Lepisosteus oculatus: one gene and its partners. The protein of the gene in region 1 purifies or fractionates together with the protein of each later gene. This does not show direct contact. Links are inferred from orthologs where the notes say so. Each region holds a gene or a part of one and is shown in the gene's direction. Other genes may lie near its edges.

The links.
Region 2: the proteins of cyld (region 1) and spata2 purify together in Homo sapiens (affinity purification with western blotting; 10 studies listed by BioGRID and IntAct, with this or other methods). This does not show direct contact. The link is inferred for Lepisosteus oculatus from reciprocal best matches to the Homo sapiens genes CYLD and SPATA2.
Region 3: the proteins of cyld (region 1) and map3k7 purify together in Homo sapiens (affinity purification with western blotting; 4 studies listed by BioGRID, with this or other methods). This does not show direct contact. The link is inferred for Lepisosteus oculatus from reciprocal best matches to the Homo sapiens genes CYLD and MAP3K7.

What each region holds. Positions count from the first base shown.
Region 1 is NC_090715.1:2,179,154-2,189,698, forward strand, and holds the start of cyld (ubiquitin carboxyl-terminal hydrolase CYLD), read left to right. Parts: upstream 1-5,853; 5' UTR 5,854-5,944; intron 5,945-10,545. Other genes in the region: nod2 (nucleotide-binding oligomerization domain-containing protein 2), read left to right, coding at 732-815, 996-1,079, 1,314-1,397, 2,365-2,448, 3,562-3,645, 4,211-4,283. UniProt on the Homo sapiens protein: Deubiquitinase that specifically cleaves 'Lys-63'- and linear 'Met-1'-linked polyubiquitin chains and is involved in NF-kappa-B activation and TNF-alpha-induced necroptosis.
Region 2 is NC_090711.1:6,396,923-6,407,393, reverse strand, and holds the start of spata2 (spermatogenesis-associated protein 2), read left to right. Parts: upstream 1-5,898; 5' UTR 5,899-5,984; intron 5,985-5,994; exon of another isoform or gene 5,995-7,267; intron 7,268-8,510; 5' UTR 8,511-8,901; coding exon 8,902-9,219; intron 9,220-9,835; coding exon 9,836-10,471. Other genes in the region: E3 ubiquitin-protein ligase RNF114, read right to left, coding at 905-1,019, 1,291-1,397, 2,143-2,293, 4,776-4,912.
Region 3 is NC_090697.1:7,517,711-7,528,012, forward strand, and holds the start of map3k7 (mitogen-activated protein kinase kinase kinase 7), read left to right. Parts: upstream 1-6,181; 5' UTR 6,182-6,416; coding exon 6,417-6,477; intron 6,478-6,828; coding exon 6,829-6,917; intron 6,918-10,302. UniProt on the Homo sapiens protein: Serine/threonine kinase which acts as an essential component of the MAP kinase signal transduction pathway. Plays an important role in the cascades of cellular responses evoked by changes in the environment.

The sequences.
Region 1 (10,545 bases):
GAAAGACAAGTTCATATTGTGAACAGACAATTGTTTGGATTTAACCACATTAAATTTTTAAATGTGTTAGGACAGAGAGTTACAGTCTGTAAAACCTGACAAAACTAAAACTTCAGTGAGAATGCGCTTTATCAACTCCGCTCCAGACTGACAGTCCTGGTCTTGAATTGGTAAGAAACACAAAGTAATAAGCAAGTGAGACCAATATCTTTGTGTAGTTGCTGTATCTTAGGTTGTGATACCGCTGTTTCAAAATATTGTATTCTGTTTCCAGTTATTGAACACTTGTGACTAGTTCATTTTCACTGTTTTAATTAAACAATCCCCTTGTAGTGCAAATGAGTTCATTCTGTGTATGTGACTTGGCAACATGTATCTAGTGTAGAACTATTCACATGAAAGCGCATTTTCTTTTTTTTTGTTGTTGTTGTTGTTGGTTAGATAAAGGATGTCTCAAAGAATGGTAGTCTTTTAGTCTTTTCTATGGCCTATTATCGACTCCAATTCCAATTTATGGTTGCAGTACAAACCCCATTTAACCTCTGGGGGTGGATAACTTGAGAATTTTTACCTCTACCAGAAACGCAGTAGGTGTAATTATTTACCTCCAACCTGCCTCTTTTCAATGTCATGCTTGACATGAGTCCTCTGAGGCTAAAGTTTAAAGCTTAATCCCAGAAATGAAATAATAGGTATTTACAATGAGTTATTCATTTGTACCTTTCCTGTAGGCTGTTTAATAACAACCTGACAGATGAGTGCACAAAGCATTTTGCAAAACTTCTCCGAACGAAGAAAAATTTTCTTTCCTTAAGGTAAGAATTACCTGGCATTTCCTGTTTGTCCTTGTGTGGTAGGATGTCTATTCTGGTGGATGTCGGATGGGAAAACCGGCCTGCTTTTTTACTGTTCTGCACGTTTTCTTCCATTGAACTGATTTCAGTGAAGTTGGCTCCGTCACTGCTGGCTCCTGATGGCTTGTTATTCTGTTGCAGGCTGGGAAACAATCACATCACTGCACAAGGGGCAGAGCAGCTGGCAGAGGGGCTGAGGGAGAGTCGCTCTCTGCAGTACCTGGGGTGAGAGTCGCTCGTCGGCGTGCCACGTCAGCGAGCTTCCGGATTCACCGCTGCTTGCGCAGGCTATGATTAAAGATCAAGGTTGTAGTACGTTTCCCAATCCATCGCTGAGTGCTTGTCTTGGCTCGTGCTGGTGATATTGACTGCCACGAGCATCCCCACACAGCCAGCCAGGAGCAAGAGGAGGGTGATGTCTTGGTGGTCTAACAGGCCTGTCCCTGCATCCCTTTCTAGACTGTGGGGGAACAAAATCGGAGACCAGGGGACGGAGGCGCTGGCAGAGGCCTTGGAGAAAAGCCCCAGCTTGGTGTGGCTCAGGTAAAGACAACTGGGCATGCACAAAGTCACATGGCTACAATGCTTTATTTTTTTGCACCTACCTCATTTGGACTTCCTGATGGGTTAAGACCAACCTTTCCACCTGCCAGTAGATCTCCCATGATTGCACGGGGGGGAGAGTGAGAGTTTGCAGACGTGCTCTGGGCCACGCATCATCGTGACGCCCTGCAGGTGCCAGTCTGACAGGAGGGGTGCTGATGGGAGGAGCCGGTCTCACAATGGTGCAAGAGCCAAGAGAACGGTGCTCATGTAAACGGAAGCCAGCTGTGCAGCCGTGCTTGAGAAACCCGGTCACAGCCTTCCTGTTTCTTTAATGGCAGAATTTCCCCCTTGTAGTTTCTCAAGCAGCTGTATAAACTTAACTCTGTGTTTGCCTGTGGCTTGGTACAGAAGAGACAGCGTGGCTATAGTGCACTGATGCAGTGTCATTCTCCCTTGTCTTCAGTTCCATCGCCTATTAAAGGGCTGGAGACAGAAGTCAGGCAGCATGCAGATCAATTCCAGGCACCGGTGATTGAGCATGGATGTGCTCCAGGACATGGATAGAGAACCACTGTGATACAGATCTAGGTTATAACATAACATAACATCACTTTATTAGCCCTATACAATTTCTTGCATTAGGAATTCGGCTTTTCACATACCCCAGCTTGCTCTCCATGAGACACACAGACAGGGAGAGAAGCTTGGGGTCAGAGCGCAGGGTCAGCCATTTATACAGTGCCCCTGGAGCAGTTGGGGGTTAAGGGTCTTGCTCAGGGGCCCAACGGAGTTGATTCCTCGGGATACGAGCCGGCAGCCTTCCAGCTACAGACGCAGATCCTTAACCACAGAGCCACCGCTCCGCCCGTTACATCAGGATGATTGCAGCGCAATGTCAATGAAAGGTGTTAAAAATGTGTGCCGCACCTATCCTGATGTGTCGCGTGCTGTGCTGTGATTGCAGTCTGGTGGACAATGGAGTGAGCAGTTCTGGAGCCCGTGCGCTGACTGCAGTGATCAAGAATAGCAGTACTCTGGAGGAGTTATGGTGAGTGCCTCTCTCTGTAGACTGGCTCAGCTAGGCTCTGGTTCACCAGTGGTCTCTGCGTAGGCCAAATCACTGCAGGGTGAAGAAAAGCTGTACATTTCAAAAACCACCATATCTCGTCCCAAAAGGACCAGTACCATTCCAGTACAAGTAGTACAAACTCTGGATACCATGGTATGTTCCAGACGATATACCCATGCTTAGTTGGCTTCAGACATCATCTATTTAAAATTGAGTTACTGTGTTCTGAGCTCTGTATTTCAAGATCACCACTGCTCACTGTCGTGCATCCACCTCATTATGAAATTCTGGTAATTAATCCTCAGATTGTAATTTGAAAAATCTGCAGGCTTTACATCTACAGAAGAGGACTTGGATGTATTAGAGGCGATATTCAGACCGCGAGTAATTAGCGGAAAAGTTAATTAGTAGCACAGTCGACCAGTTTAGAGTGGTCTCTTAGGCTCTAAGCAGCAGATGAGGAGGATGCCACCTGATAGCAGCACAAAGCCTGTTGTTCACCAGCCTGAGAGATACTGTAAGATACCCCGAGTGCAGGCATGAGGAGAGAGGCTGGTGCAGTCAGCCAGAGGACAGGCTGTTGGCTACAGGAACGATTCATTCTGGTTCTTTGGACAGAAGTTGCATTTTATTTCTGCGCAAATTCTGCATTCTGCTGTCTAGTGGTATGTTAATTTCACTTGAGTTTTCCCCTGAACATTGTTTCCTGAACCTTCACCCAAGCAACTTCAAACACTGCCAGCAACACCTTATTTGCTAATAACATTTTGTATTTAAGATATTCAATACCTAAGCCGTTGTCCGGACCTATAAAACTAAATAAAGACAATATAAACTATTTTATGACATTTGTCAAGGGTACCAGCAGATCAGTACTCAAAATGGCATTTCACATGCATGAAAACTTTAACTTAAGGACTAACACTTAGAATTTACCACAGGTTTAAATTATGTAGGTCCTTTTATTGTGCCATGCATAGTGCTGTGTTACTAGTAATGAAAATGTAGCATTAAAAACAAACCCAAACGAAGCTCCATTCAGGCTCTTGCGTAAGAATCACAATGTCGGCTCTTTCCTCTTTTGTCACTGAGGTTAACCAATAACTCCATCACCCGAGAGGGGGTGCTGTGCCTGATGGCGGCGCTGGAGAAGAACACCAGCGTCAAGGCGATCTGGTAAGATTTCCTCCCCGGCCCGCCGGATGCAGGGGGCGGCCGGCGAGAGAGACACTGGCCGGCACCGCGGAGCAGACGTGGGCAGCGGGGGGGAGATCAGCCGAGAAGCGCACCCCCGGTTCCGAGCGGCGCAGCTTGTTGCCAGGAAACAGCCTGCGCTCGGCTTTCCGACCGCTGGGCACGATGCCAGTGACGAAGCGAGCCAGGACGGAAAGACAGCGCCCTCTGTGTCATCGTCTTGATACTGGGGAGCAGGCCAGGGAGAGGAAAGATGAATTAATTCGTCTCTCTGGTACATTTGTACCATTAGGACTGTTCACGACTGTGTAACAGTCTTAACCAGCCAAATCCTTTATGAAACCATAAACCACACAACTTCAAACAAATATGTCCAGTAGACACTATATCCATGGCCGACCCTAATTAATAGTCGTCATTTGTGCAGTGGTAAACTCCACTCCAGGAATTTGTACTTGGATCTTTGCACAAGTGTGTCTTCTCATAGGTGTTGCTAGGGGTAGCTCAAATAAACCCCTCATTGCACATCTTTCTTCTTTCCGTGAAGGCTGAGAGGAAATGACCTGACAGCAGAGGACATAGAAGAACTCGCCCACAAGGAGAGCCGGCTGACGTTGTGATGCTCAGATCACTCAGGATATCCTCCTGCAGCCTTCCTCACACTCCTCCTCATCCTGCTGAATTGCAGTGCACATCTTCACCACCCAAGACCACGCAGACACTCTGTAGAAGGGGAGATCTTAACATTTCCTTTCCCAGCTCACAATGACTATCCGGGCTATCACTGGGCTATGTTAAACGTCAGAATTTTTAAAACAAAATTACTACTCCTTTATTTAACCAGACAAGGCAGCTGAGAACAGATCCTCATGTCTGATGACGAGAGACTATGGCATCGCTACTCCTTATCAAGCTGCTTGTTCTTTATATTCTGTAGCAGAATTATATTTCTGAGCAGGTGTGTCCGTTTTTCTGATGAATAAACTTAGGGTGAAGCGCGGCTGTGCCAGTCAAGGTAAAACGCGGGGTCCTGAATTTATATTCTCTTCCACCCTCCATCCCTGTTCTGACTGCTCATTCCCAGTCAGGGGCCCGGGGCAGCTGGAGCCTGTCCCAGCCAGCAAAGTGTACAAGACGGGGCCCATCGCAGGGCAGAATCTTGCATTCTTAACTATCTTTAATATCTTAGCATGTGTAACAACATTTATACAACGCACGAGTACGTTTGTACAGACAGCACGTGAGTAATTCATGTTTCAGTTGCAAAGGTACAACTGAGAAGAGGCCACTTTGTTCCTCAAGCTTGCTTGGGGGGTTAGTGGTGAATCAATCTGAGGAGCGAGTCTGGCTGTTTCTTAAAAGAAGCCCAGGTTCTCGGTTTTGACTTGGTCCTTTTTTTGTTACTCCTGTAACCCTTTCCCTACAGCAGTGCCTTCCCTTCTTGGTTTTAAATGTTTTCAAAATTTGACTGACACTTAAATGCAATATGGTGCTGGACGAACTGTCAGGAACTAAGGCTAAGTCTGTTTTTAGCTGTCAGTGGACTGGAGTCAGTGCCATGCTTTTTCAGTCAAGCCACATCAACCTGCCTGACAGAAAACTAAACCACACCAGCATATAATGTAATAGTATTAGTAATGCTGATTAGGGCTTTGTAACAACATCCTAGACTACCAAAGAAAAGACTAATGCATTAGTAACTAGTACCATTGACTGAACTTTTCCATGACCCGTGGCAGCACACGGTAGTAAAAAATCCTGTTCTCACTTATGAGAAAGAGCAGCTTCCGCGCTCCGCCCACTGTCGCGATCAGCACGCTCGCCGCTCTGACCCAACGTGCGCCCCGCCCCCTCGCGCGTCAACCAAGCTTCGGAAATCCCCGCCTCGGGTGGGTGGGCCTAAACTAAAGCACAGGTCTTCCATCCAATGAGGTCTTCGAGCCGGCGCTCAACTGCCAATGAACGTTCAAGGGACTTGACAGCATGGTTGGTCGACCAGGTTCCTCTTGTAAATAATCTTCACATTTTGCTGAAAAGGGGTTCTATTTTTAGATTGCTTTTATTTTATTCCCCTGCTACGTTCTTACCTGGCTCCGAAACCCTGAGAGAATGTGAGCTCTTAGAATCACCGTGTTTGGACGCGTCTGTGGCGAGAAGACAGGAGCCCGGTATAATTTGTCGGCGGACCCCGACCAATATTTTGGATCCTGGTGACAGCAGTTCAGTCAAAAAAAAAACCGTGCCGGCTGAAGAACAGGTAGCTGGTGACAGCGAAGTTAAGGTAAGGCTGGAAGTGCTTCAAAGCGTGAAAGCGGACCGCTGATCCTGTCTACAACCCGCACCACTATCTCAGCACATCGTGTAGCTTTGGTTTCTGGGACCTATTCCAACCCTCAACTCTTCCCGGATACACTCCCCGGCAAACATAATGTAGTAACCAGTGGACAGCTAATAATATCGGCTCAATACAGCGGCTATCCAGGACTTCCTCTAAAAAAAAAAAAGAAGAAAAAACACCATTCTCTCTGGTGTCGTTTAGTGGCTCAGCGAGGGGTGATGTCACTTCGACCGGAGATGCGCCGGCTTGTCAAAAAAATGCCCTGGCGAGTTGTCATTGATGTGGCGAGTCCGGTTTGGCTCTCGGTTATTTGTGAAAGGCTCTGTTTTTCCCGAGGGAATAAAGCCCGAAGCTGAATGTCTTTGTTACACGTAATGTCGCAGAGGTCAGCGTTGCGATGGGAGAGGTGAATTTATCTGGATGGGGTCGGAACGTGTCGACTTACTTTAAATGACGTCACTGTTGTATTTCGTACCGCCTGTTAACTAGTAATGCTCCTTAATGAAGTCCGAGCCCTACGTGTCGCGCTTTGCCTAGGACAGTCACTGCTAATTTACAGTATCAGTGAAACCGACCTCTTTCCGACGGGGAATCGCTTGTTTCATCCCCACCCTATGACATCCGGACGAATCGGATAATGGTCACTATATAACTTACACAGCATGGGGTTGTTGTCATGACTATCGGAGCTAGCTATGTCATAGGCCTCAGGCACGGCTCGTCACATTTTGACCTTCTGAAACTCCATTGCTGGTATTTTGTCACAGCCTGCTGGCACGTGCTTTGACTCTTGGCTAATGAAGAATGCTGAACGACACCCTTCCCTGCTGTCAGGTGGAGAATGATCACAGGTCATTTATATCTGCAAACTGCACTTCTTCTAGCTGTCTGAGCTGAGGACATGCAGAGTGTTAGAAGGACCCTGCAATTGTTTTCTAGGGATTGGTCTAGTATTGTAAGGTGTGTAGGCAAATGCCTAAAGCAGAGCAGTGCTTGATTTTCAGGACAATGTACCAGCTAGCACGCGGTGTTAAACAAAAAGATCTTTATTGTGTTGTGAAAGGCCCATTCTTTGCACTGTAAGAGAATGATTGTCAGCATCTACTGTGAGCAGCGCTTGTTTGTTTTCTCGTGGGTGCCAGACTGATGCAGGAGAGCGTGCTGGCAGATTACAGTACCAAGAGAAGCATATCCCTCATACAGTAAGAACAGCCGCTCAAAGACAGTCTGCCAACTGCACTGCAACATGTTTAATGCTGCTGTACATTGTACCTGATAGTGGGTGAGATGCTGGGCCCTGATCTCTTGACAGTCCGTGTGCTGAGATTATCCTGCGATGGAATTCAGGCCTGTGATTAATTACATTTGAAATAAATGGCACCGGAGGAGAATTCGATTCACAGCTACTAAAACTCACTTTTTTGTGTTCTTCCAGCTCCAGGTTTTTCCTAATCAAAACACACCACTGAACCTACTTACTTGTTGAAATAAAAAAGTAAGTTTTCTCTGCAGCAGCAAAGTGCTGATCAGAGGTGTCCCATTTCACTTGTTTTAGTGTAATGCTCAGTGCACCAATATCATTAATGCAGTTTTTGAGCTGTGTAGGATAATGCTGCAGAGTGTGGGTTGATGATGGGTTGCAGTGTGGGCTGTGTGGTGTGGGTGGGACAGCTGCAGTGTGTGGTTCAGTCTGAATTTCCCTGTTAGCCCTTTTAACATTTCTGTGGCTTCATCTCGGAGTTTCTGAGGCCATGGGGGAAATCCATTGTCCGATCAGCTGATCACACAGGCAGTACTTTAGATCTTCATTTTTGAATTTGGTGTTCTTCTTAGAGAACCAAGACCTATGAAAATTCTGAAAAATTGTTGCTTTCTGATGGAGAATCTTTAGGTTACAACATATAGCAACAGGTGTTCTCTGAAGTGCAAAGAAGATTGCCCCTCTGTGCTGTTGTGTTAAGTGGGTTTAAACAACACAAAGTATCCACCCAGTCTTTCCATTTCTGCTGTACTGTCACTGCTGTATGGGTGTCGCACATCAGTGTGTTTTTGCCCCTAAAATGGGAAATTTTGTTCTAAGTAATAAAACATAAATTATACCAAACAGTTCTAAACTGATGAGGTCATTATTTCAGAGCATGTGATTATTATACACCTCTGTAATGCCAGTGGCATGAAGTAGTCCTCTCAGTGTTACCTCCCGGGCGGTTAGAGCAGGCGTCCCCGATGTTAATATGCGCAAAGCCTAGTCGCGTTTCCTCCTCGCCGCCATGAGTTCGGGCCTGTGGAGTCAGGAGAAGCCCAGTGCTGGCTTCCGCGAGGACCTGCCTCTGTTCTGCTTTTCTGACATTTCGAACACCCAGTGCAGCATGTGGGGACACATGGCAAACTACCCATCTCTAGGCAAGTCCGAGAACAACACAAATTCCCCAGGCTGTTCTGTGGAATTAGCCGTCTGCTATTGGATAGGGTTGGGATTGCTTAGCCAGGATTCTTCCTGGATCTCCTGCATGGTGCTGAAGCTACAGCAGCAGAGTCAAGTTTGATACAGCTGACACTTCCAAATTACTGTTCTGAAAATAACCAGCTATTCTGTAATTGTTAGTTCTAATTGTTGTTTTATATACTTTTTTTTTAACCTGTGAAAATAACCTACTTAACATAGTAATCTTGTTCGTAGGTTCTGTTTGTACTTATTCATAATGGTTGTTGTTTCCTGGATGTGCCTTGTCTTTTTTTAGGTGTTGCTATTGAAGGTTTTCTCTTCAGCTGGGCACAATTGTCTTAACTAAACATTCCAAAGGAATCTTCATTGTTAAGACTTTGCAGTTTCATTGTTTATGGGCTCAGAAACTAACCTCATATCAGGCTCCACTGCATTTTTTTTAAAAAGGATAGCTGATGAACCTTCCAGAGCAATGCATACATGCATTCATGTGGCCAGCAGCCATATCACCCTGCAACTCACAACTGGCAACCCACTGAAGCTAAGCAGGTGTGAGCCTGGCCAGCACCTCGATGGGGGACCCCTGGGAAAAACTAAGGTTGCTGCTGGAAGAGGTGTTAGAGAGGCCAGCAGGGGGTGCTCACCCTGCAGTCTGTGTGGGTCCTAATGTCCCGATATAGTGATGGGGACAGTATGCTGTTAAAATGCACCGTCCTTCGGATGAGATGTAAAACTGAGGTCCTGCCTCTCTGTGGTCATTAAAAATCCCAGGGCGTCTCTTGAAAACGGTAGGGGTATTATCCTGGTGTCCTGGCCAAATTTCCCATTGGCCCTTACCAATCATGCCCTCCTAATAATCATCTATGAATTGGCTTCATTACTCTGCTCTCCTCCCCGCCAATAACGGGTCACATCATCCAGGTGGGGCTGCACATTGGTGGTGGTGGAGGTGATCCCCATTACCTGTAATTTATTATTCAGACTGTAGTGTTTAAAACAGATAGCAGTTAGGGACCTTGCTCTGCTAACAGTGGAATGAGACATGTCATAACCTATGCCCTGAGAATAAAAAGTATGCTGGATAATACCAAACAAGTCTTAACATTGTCTACTGATTTATTACTCTTATTTTGCTTATTGCTTGTTTTACAACATGAAGTAATTTGAATTAAGTGTCCTGTTTCTAGTCAAAGATTAACTGTATGTCAACAAGGGATTTACTCACTGCCCAATCCCGGTCCCATGCAGAAAATGTCACTTTTCTTCAGGCAATCTGTTGACATTAGAGCTATATGGAGAGAATGAAAGTTTAGAGATGGTCAAAACCCTTTAAAGTTTACTGATGATTTTGATTTGAAAGATATTGTTTCAGCAGACAGGTATTCTTTATATTCACGATCTTGCATATACTGCTTGTCCTGGCTCAGAGTTAAAAGAAACCTGAATGTGCATAGGGCTGAGATTCCTTCCGACTGGTGCAGTGTTGTACTGTGTTGGCAGCTTGGTGTGCTTCAATGTGTCCTGCCATGAGGAAAAGGGAAAATGCTATTTCTGCTAAAACAGCTTCTGCGTGCATTCATAACGTTTCCTGGCCATACATTAGTGAGTACCATCAAAATGGGGTTTCATGAAATTGCTGGAATTATTAGCATAGAATTCTATCCACTTTAAATTTCGTTTCTGTTCCCTGTTGCTATGTACCCTGATCTAAACATTCTCTTATATAATAAGTGCTCTGGACTGCACATAGGTGTAATTTTTATAGTTTTGAATTATATTGAGGCATTTCATAATTAACTTCCACATTCAGTTTATTGGTGATTCTTTGCTTGGCATTTTCTTTGGCTTTTGCAGAGGACACAGTGTAGCTCCTCGCTGTTACAACAGATTTTATCCTCATAGTTTTCCCCAAAGAGCCATAATTCATGGTCACTGGATGAAGATGCATGTTCCTTTGCTGTGGTTTCGCTGACTTGGATGAAGGATTCAATACTCAACCCTCCGTGCCTACTGAAGTGTGGGGTGAAGGTTCAGTTAGTCAGATTGTTTAAGCCTGAATTCCTTTAGCTGGATAACCTAAACCAGAGTTTGCCTTTGT
Region 2 (10,471 bases), on another chromosome or scaffold:
CATCTCGCAAGGTCTCAAAGCACTTTATGCAGGAGGCGACCCACTTCATCCACCAGTGAAGTGCAGTACTTGCTTGCATGCCACTGCAAGCTGCACAGCAAATCAGGTGCAGAAGTGAGACATTACTGAACCAGCTGAAACAGAGAGGAAATTTAGGGATGCCAGACTATGCAGACTAGGAAAAAAAATGAATTTAGTCTGAATACCAAGGTTAAGTGCTCTCTCTTACAAACAGTGTCTAAGGATCTGACCATAAACAGTATGGCTTTGGATTACTGGGGCATTAGTTTGGAAATTCAGATGGAAGATTGCCACTTTACTAGTCCAATAGCATTATTTACATCAGCAGCCTGGTTTTTCTGACATATACATCAGAGCAATGAAGCCCTGTCTGACAGGAACGTTTCAAACTCAGTAAAAGAGGCTTGAAATTGGCCTAAAGGGTGGCTGAACTTGACTAATCCTTAGACTCCAAGTGCCTCATGCCTGGGCTGCATCGTTACCCAGCTGTTACTCCCCTAATGTCAGTATACAATTGGTCAAGCTTGAGACAACCAGGTCTTTCACTGTTAGCTACTCAACAGCATCATCCCAGGGGACCTGTCAGGCAGTGCTGCCCGTGAGAGATGAACTGCCTCTCCCCTTGGTGGAGCTTGCAGAGAGTCAAACAGAGAGTGACTCTGACAGCGGGATGAGTGCGCCCACAGGCCCGTGGTCTTTCTGTGTAGTACAGGGGACTGCACGAGCACGACGGCTCGACAAACAGATGATGATCTAAAACCGGGCAGGTAGAAAAAAATTAAACATCCACCAGTTCCAACACTCCGGACAAAAAAGAAGCTTCGCGGCCTACGTTAAGAGGGAGAATTCACAAGTTTTTTCGGAGCATGGAAGTGCCACTCACCACATGACGGGAGTCCCTGGAGTGCTGGGAAGTGCAGTGCTCCACCAGCCCGTCCTGGTCCAGGTTCTGAACGTTGCAGTAGGGACAGGTGAAAGTGTAACGGTTTGGAACCGAGCTGGGAGGGAAAGAAAGATTTCATCCTTGCAGAACTCCACTCAGGGACACCGCACCGGCAGGTTGCACAAAGTCCTGTTTCTTTTAAACCTAAAAGACCCTGAGAAGATCCGATTACTGGCATCTTATTTTTGAAAAGAAACAGCTGAGATGGGCGGAGTATCATCAGCAAAGATAACAAGGAAGGTAAACACACAGCAAGAATCCTGACCGCATCCAGAAAGTACAGGGCAGAATGTGGATGGAAGTAGATGGAAAGCCCATCCTCTTACCTGACCACAGAGGGCTGGGACTTCACAACAGTTCTCACCCCCTCATCAATATACTCCTGATACTTGGGGCAGACAGCTGTGTGGCTCCGCATCTGGGACAGACGCACCTGTCAGGCAAAGCAAAGGACTTGAGAGTAATTACGCAGGCAGAAGTTTTCATTTCTTTAAACAAAAGACAAGTGCAGTTCTTGTATGCCCACACAGTTCCAGAAGGCCCAAGCTGTTCTTTAATAAGAAATAAGCACTGATTTTGAGTGTTAATAAGTACTAAGTGTCCTGCTGCACAGGAATTATTCCAGCAAAAACACCGAGTGTGAAAACACATTCTTTTAATGTCTGCTTGATCCATCCATCCTTTTTCTAACTGCTTTATCCAATTCAGGATCGCCGCGGAGCCAGAGCCTATCCCGACAGGCAAAGTGCGCAAGGCGGGATACACCCTGGATGGGACACCAGTTTATCCCAGGGCACACATAATAACACCAGGGCCAATTTGCCAGAATCCAGTATGACTTAGGGAGGAAAGCAGAGCATCCAGAGGAAAACCTTATGACAATGAGGAGAACAATATAAAATCCCTGCGTCCCAGCACCGCAATACTAACTGCAATACTGACCACTGATCCACCACGCTGCCCAAGCCTGGTTGATTTGTCTTTTAACCACCCTTTCTGAATGCAAAGATAAAATGTACACATAGTCAACTTATGGAAATACAGCCCTTAGCGCAGAACAAACACATCAATACAAAATGGCTCATGTTATCAAGCATACACTGTTCCTAAGTGTTGCCGATACCCCTTCATCAGTATGACCTCTCTCCCTCAACACCAGAGGATAGTACAATGCTCACCTCTGTGTGACAGCCTTTGCAGGCTCCCAGCGAACTATGAATGATTGCTTCCAGTTCTACAGCATTGGACCACTTGCTGAGAGCAGTCCGGCAAACTGCACACACAGGCTTCTGGGGGCGCAGGCATTCCTGCAAGCAGCTGCTGCAGAACCTTTGGGAAAAAAGCAGACCCCTTTCTTAAGCCTCGGTTTTATGGTGGGGCTTATCCAGTGTGTCACACAGTTGCTTAAAATCACTGGCAAAAGGTGGACGAACAAAACAGATAACACACTAAAGCAAACAAAAACCTAGTAAATGACAACTTCAGCATATGCAGTATATTGGCAAAAATAACATAATGCTCAGGAACAGACAAGTGCAGGTGTCGAGCAGTAGTGATTACGGTCCAAGTATAGATTTATATAGATAGTATAGACAATCATACATCACAATGTGCAATACCATTAACTGGATATGCAGAGTACAATATGTGCAGGGCAAAATCAGCAATGCAAAAAAGGGTGGGCTACAGATTTCAAGTGTAAAAAAACATTTTTAATCGCACATAAACAAGTAGATACATCAGTCTGGTCTATTCCCGAGTTTTGCTCTTATCGACTCTCTGCCGACACAAATTCCTAATAAAACTATATCACAGTATATCCTTGTTAAATTTGATTTAGATAGCAAAGGGTATAATACAATAATTTACCCCTGGAAGCTTCAGCTAATACTTTTATTTTACAGTGCATGTATAAGAGCACTTCTTCATTCTCTCTATTTCAATCTGATACCAGTTTGCCTAAAGGATAAGCAACTAGTGAGTTTAAAAATCATAAATGTATCCTTTTACTCAATTATAAAAGCAGAGCAGAACTATTTTTTTCAGACAGCTGACTTTTTTTTTAAATGTATGACATTATTAATTAGGGGATACCCTGTTGTTGGCTGTGTTTTTTCCCCCATGGTCATGAATCACCTTATCATGAAGCTTGCATTGTAGGTACCAGCTCGTCTAGTCTGATATTTGGTTCATCACATGACTTCCTGCATTATTATAAAAAAAGCTCAGCTGAGCATTAATTGAGTCACAGTGGGGGGAAAAAAGTTCTGGATTTGGCTTTCAAGAGTACTTAGCAAAGAGATTCCAGATCCGCTATGAGCAACCAAGTGAGTGCCAGAACAGAGGGAATTGTGGATATTAGCCATTGCAGTGGCTGTGGTACAATGTTGCCTTGTGTTTCGATTTAATCCCCTAGGAGATTATGGGGTTTTTATATCATTAGAAGGCATTATAAAGTCAGGTCAGTTTTCTTCTCCTCATTCCCAAAAGGAAACATCTAAAAATTAAAAAATGTAGGCCTATACAAGAAATGCAGTCTGTTACATTTCAGAACTTATCATTCTTTGAATTAAAACGTAATCATGAACGGTTATTTTTCCGTTTAAAACAAGCCAGGAATCGTCGTTAACACCCCCCATAGCATTACAGTAACCGTTTCAGAGTCCTAATTTCTTGACCCATTTTTTTTTAGATAATGAGAACGACTATTCTCATTCGTAAGCACTAACAAGTAGACCTCTGAATTTGTGAGGGACAGGGCAAGTAGCCTACGCTCTCATATATTCCTTTTTGTTAATTTTACAACAAATACTTGAAGGTTTCTATAGTAATGTCCCAGCTTTCTGTAGATACAGTAGCTATAACTCACTTGTTTTTTCTCGTAACAGATGAATCCGTAGCTACATACTCGTACTTGACTATTACGAAATATCTGTAACTAAGGCCTTCTTCATTCCTAAAAAAAACGTGGAACTTGGGAGTCTGCACTTATGGGTGCAATTAGTGAGAAAAACATGCACCACAGGTATTACGAATTCCTGGTTATCTGTCGAGTGTAAAATGTTTGGAACTGTTAACAGAGCGAGCTTTGAAGTAAATAATTATGTACAGAAATTAAAGACATCGTAAAATTTAAAAAAATAACCCTAACATCTCTTTAACGCCCGATGAGAATTGTTAAATCGCGATGGTCTATAAAAAAAACAAATGAGACTTATAAAGTTGAGAACATTTGTATAAACCAAAGATTTTTATTTAAAAAGTTAAAATTCTAACAACATTTTTGTATGTAATCACTACCACTCGATTTATGCGTTTATCGCGCCACAAAAATGAAGCTGTCTGGAAGCTGAAAAGAAACCTTAAACACTTTCTTTTAGGACGAAATCTAAAAATAAATTACCCTAAAGTAACGGGGGTTTCTGTGATTTGTAGTCCGACTGCAAATACAACACCCTAACATTTAAACCATTGACAGCGCTACAAAAAATACATATCCCACAATGCAGCACACTCCTTAGATGTAAACAAAAGTGAAAGTACAAGCGTTCATCATTCTAACATACAGCCTGAAAATACTAAATAAAATGACAATTGAGCATGTTAAAGCTTTGAATCCTGTTTCAAAACATGAAAACTAATGTTAGATGTATATATACATTTACTTTGCAGGCACTGTTTTATTATCACGGTTAGGAGACTAAAGCAAATGACAGAACTAAAACTAAAAACAGAAAAAAATGGGCTGTGGATATATCTCCACCCATATAAACAAATATTTTTAAAAAAACGACCATGTATTGAGACTCACGTATGCCCACACTGTGTTGTAACAGGCCGGTCAAAAATCTCTAGACACACTGGGCACACGAATTCTGGCATATCTCTCTCGCCATCCTCCGTGGTTTTCTTCTTAAGAACAGTATCTAAGCCCCCAAACATCGCCATTTCTCGCACAGCCGCTCCTGTTCCTGTCTTTTCCGTGTAAGATGCCACGAATATCGCGTCAGCTCTGAACCTGCTGTAGGAGGGGCGAATACAGCAAACTACATAGCGGCTGCCTAGGACATGGGCGAAGTGAAGACAAAGCGGAAATTGTAGCTCTTGACCATACCTGGCCAGGGTTAACACCTCGATTAAGGTTCATTTCTGGGCATATACATATTTTGCCATTTCATGAAAATAGTTGTTTTCAAGGAGATACTGCAGGAGTAATTACTGTATATCTTAAGGAGAACACATGATCTTATTTAGAATTTTCATTTTTTTTATGGATGGCCTTTTAAACTCAAAACCGTCAGCCAGTACTTCTGTTCTAGGGAAATTCTCAACATCTAGATACTGTATATATAAGACAGTTTCCCTGAAACTCTCATTGACGGCTTTTGAAAGTTAATATCACTTTGAACATGCATGCTCAATGCTTCCTAAAATGTTAACGTTCTGTTTTTATCTTAATTGATAAATGTTTGGGAGGCATCATGGTGTGGAGATACAGTAACTAAGTGTGGTTTCCTTCCATTGGGAATCACACATTTATGACCTACTGTAGGTTTCTGTCTCTGTGGAGTTTGAATGTTCAATGTCTTTGTGGGTTTCCTTGGCTGGGTTAACTACTGTCTCTAAATCAGGGGTCTTCAGCCCTGGTCCTGGAAAGACCCAATCCAATTATTCATATAGATCAGCCAAAAGTACCTGTTATTTAAAGATTAGGCACTCTTTTTAAGCAAATGCTCAATACCAGGTAATGTTTATAATGAAACACTATGCTTTGAGGGATGAAGGATATTCTAATCTCGGGATCCGGGTTGGGGACCAGAGGAAGCAGACCTCTTTTTCTGTGATAGATCCCGGGTTGCCGCGACCCTTGTCGGGGTGTATATAAACATTTTATTTAGAAAGTTGTTCTGTATAGCGCGCATACCCGGCGCCTGGTTTTGAGTTCACGCGCACGTGGAGTGGCGTAAGCTACGTAACGCATGCGCAGAGAGACGGTGGGGATTTCCAGCAGAATGCGAAGGTAAGGAGTGGGGAGAGTATGGTGGCGTCTTTTAAAAACAGCTCGGCTGGTTTAAAATGAAGCATTTCTCAGTGCGTCTGTTTGACTTGTGACTGCCAAAACGCAGTTCTGCCCATGCGGGCGCAGGGACTGGTTGCTGGTTGTACGCATTAGGGTTTCAAGGCGTTGTTTTATAATCTGTGTATGTAGATTCACTGAGGCGGCTGTAACCACTCTGTTGATGGGGGCCGAGTCCGAGTAACTGACAAGTCAAGAAATGATCTTTGCCTCCGTGTAAAAATGATGTTTGATGGGTCAGGCGTCATCATTCTAGACGACAGTAAGGAAGAGGGTGTGCGTGTAGTGGAAAACCGGAACCAGTCTTATTGGCTTCCTTGAATAGAAAAAAACATGTATAAAATAAATCAGATTTTTTTTTCGTGTTCGGGAATTATCTAAAGGTGACGTTTTTCTCCCCCAAGATGTTTCGTTTTACATCTGTTAGCTATGAATTTTTCTGCATTTTTTAGCGTTACTGTGCTCCGCTCGTTGGGCGAGTGAGAAAGTCATATCCGCGATTCAGTGGGCTGGGGGTGTGTACTCGCTCCGTGGACGGATTGCATGCACATCCACTGACGCTCGCCAGAATTGGAGACATTTCCACACACACACACACGCAGTATCGCACATCTTGGATGAGATTTTCAACGGCCTAAAAATATTAATAAAATGTGCCAGGTTGATGGGCTCAGATAATTATCTCGGCTCCCTGAAACCGATCCAGTTAAACAGCGACAGCCTGCAATTGCAGAATCGTATCTGCTTGATTGTTAAGGCGATAGGCTAGTTTCATACACCCCAAATTTTCTAGTAAAGGTTTGGACTGTTTCAACCAATAAGCGAGGCTGAAGTAAATTTTGAAAATTCACGCGTAGAAACTAGATATTTGGAATCAAACACCCATGCAAAGGACATGATTAGTGTGGAGCCTTATACAGCCCTAGTAAAGTCTGACACGAGGGAAATGCTCAGTTCTTCCGCCCGTGGCCTTTACAGAAGGCGTCTCCGACGCCTACACGTTGTGTGGTGGAGAGGCGATGCACGTATTGCGACCAGCCTCCAGGTCCTGCACACAATCCTTTGCTTTTTTTGGACTTAAGAATGTGCAGGGAGTCCGAAACAGCAGAGGTCCCCTTTTTGAAGAATTTCAATGTGAACGGTCTTTTTATGGACAAGGGTCCTTAGCTTACCCAGCCCTGGCAGTGGGCAGCCCAGTTGGAGTGAAACCTGGAGCATCACAGTAGGTATCACACAACCCTTACTGACCTTTTGTGGATGTTTCTCGGATTGCCCTTTCAAATTCATCCCGCAAAGCCCCGTTTTGTTATGTGCAAGGATACAGCACTAAACGTTAGCAAAAAACAGCCGTAGTGGCTGATGTGATGCTCGCAGTCATTCAAACGATTTCTGCCTTGCTCGCTATAGTACTGGGATGCATCCTGAAACATTGACATCAGTTGTAGTTTGAGGTTTGTTGTGCATGTCTTAAAAGAAGCAGGAGATATTTGCACATTGGTTATGTGTTTATGTTTTAAAGACAATATGTTCCTTGGGATTCAAAATATTGTGATGGCTTTTGTAAATTATTCTAGCACTTAAGGTGACATCAGGGGGTTTATAGTTAGAAAAGTGAAAAACACTTTATGCTTAAGGAGATGGTTATAAATACATTGTGCTTTAATACAATGGTACCAATGGACTTTTTATCTGAAAAAGATTAAAAGTTTTAACTTTATTATACCACTTCATGTTTTCAGTAACAGTGCTCATCAGGAACACCTCTATGAGGTGTATTTTAAATCCACAAAATCTGGAAACAGCAGATTTAAAAAGCCATGAGTCTTTCAACAAAAAAACAAGTTCCATGTTTTTCCTGTCCTGTAATTGTTGTTCTGTATCTGCCAACGTTTACAAAATGTGCCTCTATAAAATCTTTGTAAGATTTTTCCTTGCTCTGTAATGTCGCTGACCTATTCTAAGATTTACAGTACTTTCCAGAAAATGTGTTGTCGTGGGCTCTTATCTAGGCTTGATTTACACAGTGTACACACACTTTCACACCTGCGGAACCATTTAGATTTGCCTCCTCCATTACAGAGTTTCTGCCAGTAACAAATTCTCAGTGTGAAAGGCGGACATGTTGCAGATCTGCATTAATCCCAGGTGTTGGGTTTTTTTTTTTTAATATTGCTGCGGTGGAACCCTTGAAAAAATGTGTGTTCAAGATATTCTATAAACAAAAATACTAGCCGAAATGTGTCCATCCTTGCCGTTACCAGTGTGTGTATTCAACAGTGTGCAGGGAATGCTTGCTTGTAAATAAATCAGTACTTTCATGTATAGTCAAGCAGTTTATAGCAGCTGAGTAAAATGTGCTTGAGATCAGGCAGAACCTGACATGTTGATTGAATCCTAACTGGCTGTTACATTAATAAAAAAAATCTCTTTAAGTAGTTTCTTTAGGCATGTTTTTCTTCTGTCTTGCAGCCCGGGGAATCGTGCGGATGGTTAGCCTGGTCGGTCATCCCTCAGCGGCCTGTTATTCCCATACTTTGCACTGAAGACGGGGTTTACTTGGCATAGCCTCCGGAGCTTGGATTTCTGGATTCAGATAACCTGCTTCACACAATGTGAACGTGCACTCCGCTTCCCGTTTCACTGCTTATTCATGAGTGAAACAGCCCGGGACGTTCCAAGTCCAAGATCCCCATGGGAAATTCAAGGTGCAGCATCTCCTGCTGAACAGAAGAAATGTGGCTACCATGCAACTTGTGACGCAGCAGCGTGTCTGAGCAGGCCTTCTCCCAGCTGTCTTGGAGAGTCTTTGAAGCAGGGGGTGATTATGCGAGTCAGGCAGTGACCCAGCCTGCTGCTCCAAATGGATCCCAAGCTGCGAGAGGACCTGTTCAAGAGGTATGTGCAGTGCCTGGAGTCCAGACTGGAGGAAGGAGGCGATGGGCAGCAGGTGGCGGTTGAGACTGGGCTCCATGCGGCTGCCACGGCTCTACTCAGTGTCTACCAAGTGGATCCAGCTCAGCGGTTCCGGCTCGTTCGGTTCTATGAGGTGGCGGAAAACGCCCTACGCACCCTGAGGAGCTCCAGCCTGCAGGCCTTAGAGACGGCTTTTGCCACCCTGGAGACCATCTGTACCAACCTGCTGCTGTACCCCTGGAAAAAAGAGTTCCGCAGCATTAAGGTACGTGATGCCAGAAGACAAGGTGCCCAGCAGCATGGCGAGTGAACGGATAGTGATGCTTTTCTAGTTTTCTGTTATATAGTTCAGGCTTCATTTCTGGATGAAGCCATTTAGAAACCTACAAATCATCATTGAACCCCAAAGTTAGCAACTGTCAGTCTCTTGCTTGTTTTTATTCTAGCTTAATGAGATCAGGTTGGACAGCTGTGGTTAGATCATGGAATTGTAGAACAAATCAAATACATAGTAGAAAAAGTTTCACTGAAGCAAATTTGCTTAATAAAATTAAGATCAAGATCAAGGCTTTATAGCTTTAAAGCCAGATTTTTAGATGTTTTGAGCAATTGAAATTGTTTAAAACCATTTAGATGGTTTAAAGCGGTTACAAAATGTGCATGCATGAATTGTAGGTTTCAAACAGTATCTTATCTAAAACGAAATTGAATGCATATTCAGGTTAGCAAAGTAAAACTATCTGTGAAGAAATTATATTTTAGTTAATAGTAGCAGTTAGTCTGTCAGCAAAGCAGTACAGTAAGTTGAAGCTGTATAATCTAGAACTAGAAGAACCCATAGGCATGTCATGTAACGCTTTCTCTCACCGTGTTTATTATAGACCTTCACAGGCCCCTACATCTACTACCTGCAGTCAGCACTGTGCGACTCGGACCTGCGCTCCCTGCTGCGCTCCATAGGCTACACCCGAGATCAGGAGATGCACTTTCACGCTCGTGAGCACCCAGGAGGAGCGCCTCACCTCCGCCAGCTGGCCTTCGAGCTGTTTCTGGCCCGGGCAGAATGCCGTCTTCTGAGAGAAGTGGCCGTGCTGGCGGGCGGGGGCACGTCGGAAGTGGAAGCCGTGGAAATGCGACGGATGAGCCGCGACGACGCCGCGGGCTGCGCGGAGGCCCTGCGGAGGCGCGAGGTCCTGGCGGGAGAGGTGTCCCGGCTCTCGGTGCGGCAGCCCGAAGCGGAGCGCGCCTACCTGAAACGAGCCAACCGGACCTCGAAATCGGTGGACGTGACTGACGGCGCGGGTCACTGGCAGCAGGTCAGTAAGCCGGTCTTAAAGGCCTCGCTCAGCCTTCGGAAGGAGCCTCTCTTTGTGGACGCGGAGGAAGACCTGCAGGACGAAATCATCCGGCCCAACAGCTCGCTGCTGTCTGTGGCGGGGCCACACTACAGTCCTGTGGCAGATTTCTTTCCTGCTCAATCTCCCCTTCCTGAGCTTAGCCAGACCTACTCCTACCAC
Region 3 (10,302 bases), on another chromosome or scaffold:
TACTCTTTTCGAGAAACACCCTGGGATTTTTAATCAGGACCTCGGTTTTACGTCTCATCCGAAGGACGGCGCTTATTTACAGTATGGTGTCGAGTGTTTGAGACTAACTCAGTAAAAAAAAGAGCCTCATGTTAATGAGTCTGACATACTGAAGACTTTAATCTTGATCTAATCTTTGCAAGCAGAATAAATAAGGCCTCGATTCATCAAAACTTAAATACATCTGCTTAGTTGAAAATTCCAATCATTCTTGGCAGATTTCTCTGTGCTAGAGAATCCTTTTGGCCAGCCACTATAGAAATCCATCCATTATTTGTTTGGAATTTAAACTGGCAAGCGGATTGAAATTTCATATTAATTCAGACCAAAGGGAGTGAACCAGGCCTTCTGCTGTATAGCTGAAGAACTGCACACTACACTGCTGTGAATGGCTGTTCACAGCTCCAGACACATGCTGCCCAGTTTCAGCTTTTGATATCAATTTTTTTTTCCTGCTATTCATTTTCTGGTGTTAAATAATTAGAAAAAGAGATCTCCTATATAATTAATTTCTAGTTTCTTTTATTTGAAAACAAAACATGGCTATATACTCTTATTTGGACAACACCTGTGAAGAGCCCACTTGGTGTTCTGTTCACTCAGGCATCCAAAATGTATTCAGTAGGTAGTGTACTTTACACTTATATAAAGTAACGAGTACATTTCATTAGGATTGCTTGAGTGACGTTGAGGTTTCAGCAAACCATGTGTGTCTGTTGTTTGAAATCCTCCATATTTTAGCATAACATATTGTGCACGGCTGTCCTCAAGGAATACAGCAATCTACAGATGTGGTTCATATAGCATAAGGCCTTTTTGAACTTTTGAAGATTCTGAAAGAATAATATGTAGTATTTTTCATATTGTAACAATATTGTCTGTAGAAGTTACCTTTTTATCCATTTATATAAGATACATTTTTATAATATATTGCTTGGGTACTAGAAGTGTTGGTTAAACTGCAGTGCTTAAAATGTAGAACTTTCTAATCTAGCTGAAATATACTGTAAATATACGTATCTACAGAATAAGATATCTGCTCAGAGAGCACTGTGAAATGAAATTACACAAAAAAATGAATTTGTAGAATTTCAGAAGAAGAGTGGCCTGAAAGGTATATGTTATTACTTTCTTTCTGAGTGCTAGCACATGCCCAGTACATGTCTGTTTAATGAAACATTAATAATACATATACTGCTCTTGAAAAAAAAACATACCATTCTATGAATGTGTATACTGTATGTTTTTAGAAAAAGAAAGTATACAGATTGTCGAAAATGATTAAATGTTGTTTAGGCATCATTTTGATAACTTGATTGTGTATAACTGACCAAGATGCACTTGAGTAACATTTTGACTGTTGCTTAAAGTGCTAAATAACTTCATTAATGAGAGAGTCGCCTCTGCACAAGATTTTGTTATTACCGCGGTAACACCTTCGTGAATTTGACTTACACTTCTGCCCGTTTCTGAAGCTTAAATCTCTTAAATCTGTAGGACGACAAACTGAAGATAATAGCCACATTTTCTTCTAAATTAAAATTCATAGATTGCTGTTCTATTTAAAAGGTGCCCTTTCTTAAAGAGATTTTAAATACGAATAAGAATGAATTACAAATGTTGGCACCCTCACAGCCAGAATCCAATCGAGCAAATGGCTGATACATCAAAATGAAGAAACCGATGTTTTACAAAATACTTTTAAAAGGAGATCATATGGCTGTCATCCAGAAGGCACACCTGTGCCAGATGGAACAAGACATTGAGTTAGGGTTTAGAATTTACCTTAGTTTAACCTCTGAGTCAGCATTGTTCACAACAGATGTGATTTTGTTGCAGAAGTTAATGTCAGCTATTTCTAGTCTGTGACGTATGAAGTCCCTGTCGAATTCCAATAAAACTTGTAATACTGCTCCACCTCTATATGTATGCATGTCTCTAAATGTTCAGATGACACATATCATTCTGGTCCAGACGGTTCACGTCAGTTCAGGAAATTAATTATCTTTGAAGTGTAATGCAATTTTGTGTAGGGCAATGGGCACTGATCTCCCTAAAAGGCAGGAGGAAAAAAATGCAGTGAAAGACATCAGAAGTCACCTCAAAAATGATAAACAATGGTCACATTTAAAATAATACTTTACAGGTAAAAGATTTAAAAATAAACACAAAGAATCAGAAAACTAATTAAAGGGTACATTAGCAGTCTATGTACAGAATTGTTTGCAGTTTTAATCAATATTAAATATAGATCAATACAGATCTATAAAATAAAGCACAGAGTTTCATTCATCGTTATCTCAGTAATTGTAAGTCTATGTTCTGAGGAATGAAAAAGTCTGGAAGACATTTAATTGGTCAAGCCCCTGGGGATGAATAAAGTATTTTGAATTGAATCAAAAGACCTGCAACAGATTCACAAAGTTAACTGAAAAAAGACCCAGTCTTTGTTGTAGCAGCAGCTGTCATGTTACTGAACAGACATGACATAGATAGATGTCATTTGGTCACCATTGGAAGCAGTATAAGATCTACACCAGTGATGCTCTGCACCGGGTTGCAGCTGATTGATTTTTCATCAACAGGGATGATGAACTTGGGATCTTGAGTGAAAGTTTCTAGGCTAGCAGCACTGCTGAAAGCTATGCTGTACCTCTGCTTCACATGCCTTGCGCCAGGTTTTCAAATGCAGTCAAGTTGGGTTCTAACCCATTTCTTTCACAGATACTAGACAAGCATGTGCAGTACCTCCCCATTCACTGGTCTCTGTGCCCTACATGCCACACATCATCTCGGTTCAACCCCCAGTGTTCAATAGGGATCAAGTCATGCAGTGAATCGACGGCGACGAGAACTTGTGACATTCTAATCTTGCAGGAGAGCCTTTTGTACACGAGCAGCATTAATGCTCGGCTTTGTCCTGCGTTTGTCCTGCTGAGATGTGCGTCATGTCGGGATGAGCCTACAGGAAGGGCAGTAAGTGAAGGCCCAGGGCCTGATCAATGTTGGGGTGTGCAGTTAGGGTGCCATCAATCACTGGAAGGACAGGCTCCGTAGCTACCAGATGCTCGTGCCCAGAATATCACACTGACGTGATGATGCATCCAAGTTAGGTGTCATGACTCCCAGCCTGTAGCCTAGACTTGTGTTTTTCAGGTTGTCTCAGTTTGAGGTACAGAGAGTTAACGTCTATGTGGTGCCCGCAGATGTCTGTAAATGTCCTGTTAATTGTTTCTGTCTTGGCAACTCTGTAATTCATCGGCCATGACAATTACATTCTTGAAATTAAAATCTGAAGATGGAGGCAGTTAGGAGTTCAAGAGGAAGAGAAAGAAAAGGAGGAAGTGAATGTGTGTGCAAGGCAGCAAGGGGAGAGGACAGACAGCAGACCTTAGCAGTCCAGCGCTGGGGGTGGACGCTGCAATATCATATGTCTCTATTGTGGAAATTTTGTTATATCAATGTTTTGTTTTAGAAAATACATGAATGTATTCATGGTGTTTTATTTTAATAGTTTACTTACATTTACTCCTAGACGTCTGACGTATATTCCTTCTGTAATAAGATTTCTTGTTAGCAGGAAGGTTTCGCTAATCCTTTTAACTATGCAATGTAGCAGTCACATTAGTAATGACAGGAGAACAGTAAGATATTTGTCAACAATGTGTAAATCAAGAGTTCTGAAGTGGTGTACTGAAGAAATATATACAGATGATAGTATATTTCATAATCAAATTGTATTAACTCAGGGCTGTTATGTTAAATGCTCATACTTGCAGTTTTTTTTGTTCTGGTTGTAAATCTTAATGGGAAGAGAAAAGACAAAAAATGTTATTAAAATTGTATAATTGAGCACCATAATTTAAAAGGCAGCATTCAGGATATATTAAAATAATAAACTTCACTATTTCAACGGCATCAAAAGTACTGTAGTTCACATTCTTGCAATACTCGCTACAACCTCTGCTTCAGAAAGTGCATCCCAATATGAAACAAAAAAATCACAATTTTACTCATTTAAAAAAATAACACTGTGCAGGGAATGAAAACCAAAGAAGGTGCCAACTAAAGAGCAAACTACGGCAAATGTCACAAAAAACTGAGCGACAAAAGTTGAGAGTGGGGCAGGAGCCTGGGGCCTATACAGACAGTAAGTTTGCACATGGTGGCCAGGGTCTTTATCACGGGATCCGTTTGTCTTTCCTCTTCAAGCTTCCCCTCAATCTAAGGTCTTCCTAAGGCACAGGGTAGGACGGTGGGGAATCCACAAAGACTGAACTACACACAGTTTGCAGAGACACACGTCAATAATCACACGGTTCAGAGGTGACTTGTGGGATTGCTAGCCGGGAAATCTAGGTCTGACACCAGGGGGGGCCTCTGGAACAGGAGACCAATGGACACTGCTGCCAGTCTGTTGACTGGGCCTCCAGCCGTTAGCTCTGCCCACACCTTAGGCATCACCAGGACACACCCACCCCTCAGCTTTCGAGTCCTGATCTCTGGAGCAGGAAGAGGCTTCACAAGCCCCACTCAGGAAGAACTGAAAGAGAAGAATTCGGGGAACACGGGGTTTCACCAGAGGGCGGACTATAGGAGAGGACTTAGACATCACAGGGGGACTCTACACGGAGCAGCAGAGGAAGGCTCAGGCATCATCTTCCTTCCACCCTCACCTGTACTTGACTTGTACTCACACAACACTAGGAAACAAGGCTGGGGAAAGGCATAATGGACCACATGTCTCTGGAGGCCAAAGCTGGAGAGAGCACTTACTGCAGGTCATTTAGACCATCAACGTTTCTCTGCCTTTTGGCTAAGATCAAGTGTAGTTCGTGCAGTTTAGGCCACTGAAGGACCAGACGCGAGTTTCGTCTGTTTGGTCTGCTGTGGCAGAAAGAGCCAGACGCCGGGGGCCAGCTGGAGCTATTTTCGGAGAATTGCGCTGCTGGACTTGTCCTGTGGGACATTGGTTTTGGGAAACTGTAGTCCATGGGGCTCTTGTGCTGCTCCGTGTGCTCATGTGTGTCGCTTCTGGTTACTTTTCCATGTTTTCTTTTACAATTAATGTTAGACTGTACTTGACAGAGGAACAAAACTATAATGATGTAGATTAACTGTCTGGTCTGATCTGTGGTTCCACAGATATAAAGAACCTGTTTTGAGTGAAACAGGGTCTTAGTGACTACAAGCTACAACTGTCCAGCAGTTGAGGTCCGATACTATCTATCCGCAGCACAAACAACACACTTCTCTTGTATTTCTGTACTCAGCAGCACAGTAGACTTTGCAAATCCAGTTTAACTCCTCATTTTAATTTATTTTCATGCAGTCTCCTTAATATTGGTTTCCTCCTCTCCTCTCCTCTCCTGCACAAAAACAAGATACTGTACTCCAGATGGGCCCCTTGACTACACCAACAAAATGAATTTTAAACAATTGTATTTTTAAGAGTAATTCAACTGGCTGTCAATTATCCTTAATTTAAATAAGGAGTGTAAAGGAGTCTCTTAAAAGAAGCAAGATCCCATTTATGTTATTGTATTCAGTAGAATATACTACACTGCTACAAACCTCTATGCAGACGAATAAAGGACTCAACTTCAACCTTTACTCAACAACTTGGTTGAAAGATGATTTATGCGTGTCGCCCCTAAGGAAATCACAGGTGTCTCCGAAAGATGACTGGGAACTGGTAAAGACCCTACAAGCAGATCATGAAAACTCACATCAGGCTCCCTAGTCTGCCTTCAAGCCCCGGGGCTGTGACACTGTGTGAGACTCACCACCTTCCACCCCTGTGCTTATCAGACTTCCATGCATTTGAATGTGTCCATCTACTGTATGGATTTTTAAATATGCATTTAATATGAACATTTCTTAACCAATGCAGGAAACTAACGGGGCCCGTTAATTATTTTGCACCCCAAAAAAAAACCATGTAATTTCAAAATGTTAACCCCGGTGTTAAAACGTATACGCGTTTCAGACGAACCCAATGCAATCGTAAAAACTACATCTGTAACTAAGATCATAATGTGGTCTGTAACGGGGTATTTTTTCGGGCAATTGCAGATACCCCTGTCCGCCCCCCCCTCCTTCACAGCTCAAGCGCCGCCTCGGCGGGCCGGCTGTCGCTGTCAGTAGCGCCTCTACGGGCGGGAGCACGAACGCAGCGGAGCCGGAGGGGCGCCTTTCCGAGCAACACCCACTTCCTGGAGCTGCCGCAGCAACTGCGGAAAAAAAAAAATACTGTAGTCAATGGAAACTCGGCTTTAAACTTATATCGCCGGATCAAATGGGTCCGAGATACTTCTTCCTTTTTGGGAACGGGTCTGCTCGTACGCGCGGGTTGTAGCCGCAGTTCGCCAGAGTAAATGACACGCACCTCCGCTCAAGGCACAGCGCCGATGTGGGAAGCTCAGTCTGCGGCAAGGGGTAGTCAGTTCATCCCTAGGCTGTAGCCAGGCCGACAGCGGCCTAGGCGCTTAATAACTAATCGTTCAGTAACAGTGATTTTAGTAGCTGTAAATGCATACTTTTTTTTAACGTGAGGTATTTATCCACGTGTTGTTGTTTTTTTTTTAGGTTAACAGCATCTTGCTGTCAGTAGGCTATATTAGCAACGTCTTCAGACTTTTTTTTTCCAGACTGTTGTTTACGTTTGCAAAGTAATAATTGGTCTACCAGATCAGTTGTTTCTGTTGTTGCTCGTTATTACGATGAATCTTATGTGAACTTTTTCGCATTTCCGGATGTTTTTGATAACCCCTCAACTTTGACGAATAGCGATGTCTGCACCGTCCGCAGAAATGATTGAAACTCCACCAGGATACCCTTTCGAAGAAATTGATTATAATGATATAGAAGTCGAAGAGGTAAGGTTTTAAATAAGGGCAAGTCTTTTATCTAGGCCACTTAGAGAGGACTGAATTCAAGGGAATGTATAATCACTTATTGAAACATCATTTGAAGTCTGCACTTCCCACGGTTAGATGCAATCTTTTCTAGGGGGGCTGATTGATTCGTCTAGGCTTGTTTTGGCTAAGAAGTTAAATTTACTCCCCGCAAAACTGCAGCTCCGCGATTTATTAAATTAATATTTTTGGGATTGTGAAAAGGCTACGACGTTTTTTTTGTGTGGAAATAATCGGCTGAATGTTACATCTGCTGTGTACCACAGAATAAATGCATATAAGTTATTTTTCCTCTGCTCTCCTCCGCATATTTCGGTTATCGCGATTGATTTAAGAGCTGCAAGACCTGTTTTCACTTTTTAGCATTGTATTTTGTGTTGCACATCTTGTGTGAAGAAGAGAAAATCCCCTTTATGCGAGTGAATTCTACAACAGTGGTTTACAACAAGGCCTTCATTAAATATGTATTGAGTACTGACAACGTAGTTTACTGTGGTTGAAAGGGAAACAACTTACACACTATTTATTAATAGATATCGAGTGGAAACATTAGCATTTTAACCACAGTGCATTCCACAGAGTGGTGAATTGTAACCGTATTTGTTAAGTAGACTAAAACCCACAGTCTGTTTTCGGAATGCCCGCATTGCTCAAAAGAACAGCTTACAAAATAATAAACTCAGTTGCTCCTGCTCAATGCATTCGCAAAACAAGGAACTTAGAAAAGGTTTCGCTCTGGGCCAAAATTTGCTTCGATTATTATGCATTATGCAGCCAGATAATTTTCCAAAATCATACTTCAAACACTTTAGAAATGAGTGCCCTCACTCCTTACTAAGCCGTGCTCCGTTAACCAAGACAGCAGCTTCATAATGACTTTACAAATGGTGAGATGTGACTGTAGAAAATGTTAATTCTGGTGTGCCTGTTCTGCACTTCTTGTCATTCCCCGAGAGTGACATGTGAGAATGTGGGACATGCCAAGAAATGTACGCCTGCGAATTTGTGATTGTGTACAGGCCTCGCTGGTTCGTTTGACTCAGTCACACTGCAATGCTGCAGCTGCTCACTGAAAGAGAAGGGAGACATGCTATGGGAATTGTGCTGACAGGTGTGTACCTACGGGACAGCAGCAGGGCCAGAAACCGATAGGACACACGCTTTTTTGGAAAAAAAAAACAGTCCACCCACCTGAGGGGTCACTCCTGGATAGCAGCAGCAGCTACAGGTGATCTTGCAATAGAGCATCACGGACGATTCATGAACCCAATTATGGCCACCAGAAGTCCCAGGGTTGCCAGTGCCGGTACCTCTGCAATAGGAATGAACTCACTGGGCTGCACTGACTATTCTGTTCTATGATGAATTTCTCTTCTTCGCACAGGAGAAATGTTTGATGGTGGTGGAGTCATGCTGTAGACGAGGTGGGATTTTAATTTAGGAGTCTTTATTTTTGCTATCGGTTATCCATTGTACTGGCATTTTAAGGCTTGGCATCAGCACCACTAATAACCTAATGTTTTGGTACAGTTATGATCAAAACCCACGTCGCAACAGTCGCTCAGTCCTCCCAGCCGCGTTTTGGGAGCAAGCTCGTGTGCTGTTCTTTTATATTGCTGGCTTTAACCTAGTCCGGCACCTGTGGAAGAGGTTGGTGGAGACATGCAATGTGTCAGCATCTGCTCATGTGTAAAATTCAGCTTTTGTTAGGGCCTGGCAGGTGGTTTTCAGACTGAGTTGGACTAACCGTGGGGACACCAGCAAGGTGCAAGTGACTAACTATACCATTTCACATATACTCTGCTGGACTTTCAGACGTCATCAGAAACGTTTCCAAAAGTAATGTAGTTGTCCTTGCCCAAACCTGTATCTAGAATAAAGTTACCTTTTTCTTGTCTGATGTCTTGAAATGGGTTAGTTTTCTCATTTTAAGAGTATGCTTAAGTGAAAAGTTAGAGAATTATTTCTCATGTTCATTACTTTTAATTGTTCCTTACAGGTCCCTCAATTTTCTTTGCAAGGCGATCTTAACACATTTTAATATTGCTGTATTTTAAAATGCATTATTGTAGTGCTTTTTTATATAATTGGCATCCCTGTTATCCACCAAAAGAAATTCAGACTTTCACATTTTAGACTGGTGTTGACTGAGTTGTATTCCAAACACATGGGCACTTAGATCCCCTTATGACGCAATAGGGATTTCTGCACCTAAGTGCTTTGGATATAGGGACTGATGTGTTTGAGGTTTTGCTGATTTTTAAGCAATTAGCAATATCATTTTTGAGGCTTAAGGTTCTTACTGCAGAGATCAACTACGGGCGATATGTTGGTTTAGGAAGTCTGTAATTCTGTCAGTTACAGTACATGTGCAGTATTGTCTTTTGGGTGCACGCTTAGCCTTCCCTTCAGATGATGTTTCATTTTAGAGGAACAGTATCTCTTTTCCACAAGATGGACTTTTTAGCTTTGGGTATCCATTTTCACCGTCTGAAATGGGCACTGCTTTATTCAGCAGAAAGCTGTAACGGGCACATGCAAAAAGAGACAGAAGACCTCAGGTCAGATGCTGAATTTAGCCAATAACTATGTTCTGTTCGAGTGTTAAATCTTAAATTAGTTGTATTTGGATTGAAATACCCACCTGAATTAGTATCATAGTTTGCCTGAGCTATGATATCAGCTTTAAACTTCAGTCTTTAGAAATTGGATTGTGGTATTCAGCATTCCTCGCCAGCCTTGTGTTAGGGACAGAAGTGCTGAGTTTTGGACTTCAGACTGTACAGCATCTGCTTAGTGTGCTTTATAATAAGTTAAAAAGAGTAACCTTCATGGTATTAAACTACCTGGAAGCCTATAGTGATTGCAAGCTTTTCTTTTTTCCATTCCAAATTTCTTACTGTTCCTGATTGAATTACAACATGTGTAGCTGATTACATATGGAAGGTAACATCGACATTTCAGTTGTGAGATAGTATGCTCTTTTGTCAGCCAAGATGGTGACAAAATTATTTTTCGGTTATCATCTTCAGCACTAGTTAAGTGATTGACTGCTTCAGGTTTGCGAAACACAAGTTGTGTAAATGGTACTTCTTCATATCTCTTTGTTACCTCCTTTAGGCTGGCATTCCAAGGACAATCAGAATCACGTTTTGAAATTGTTTCCCTTTGTAAAACACGATGTCCATCTCACCCACTTTTTCTGAGCTTACCTTGTAGTGCGTTTTCAGCATAAAACATTTTTCCCACTGAAAAGCTTTAAATCCATTTTCTCAATTTGGCAAAACCGTCGTCCTGTGTACAGTGTGATTCAGATCTTAAAAAAACAGTGCTCTTGCATTAACCA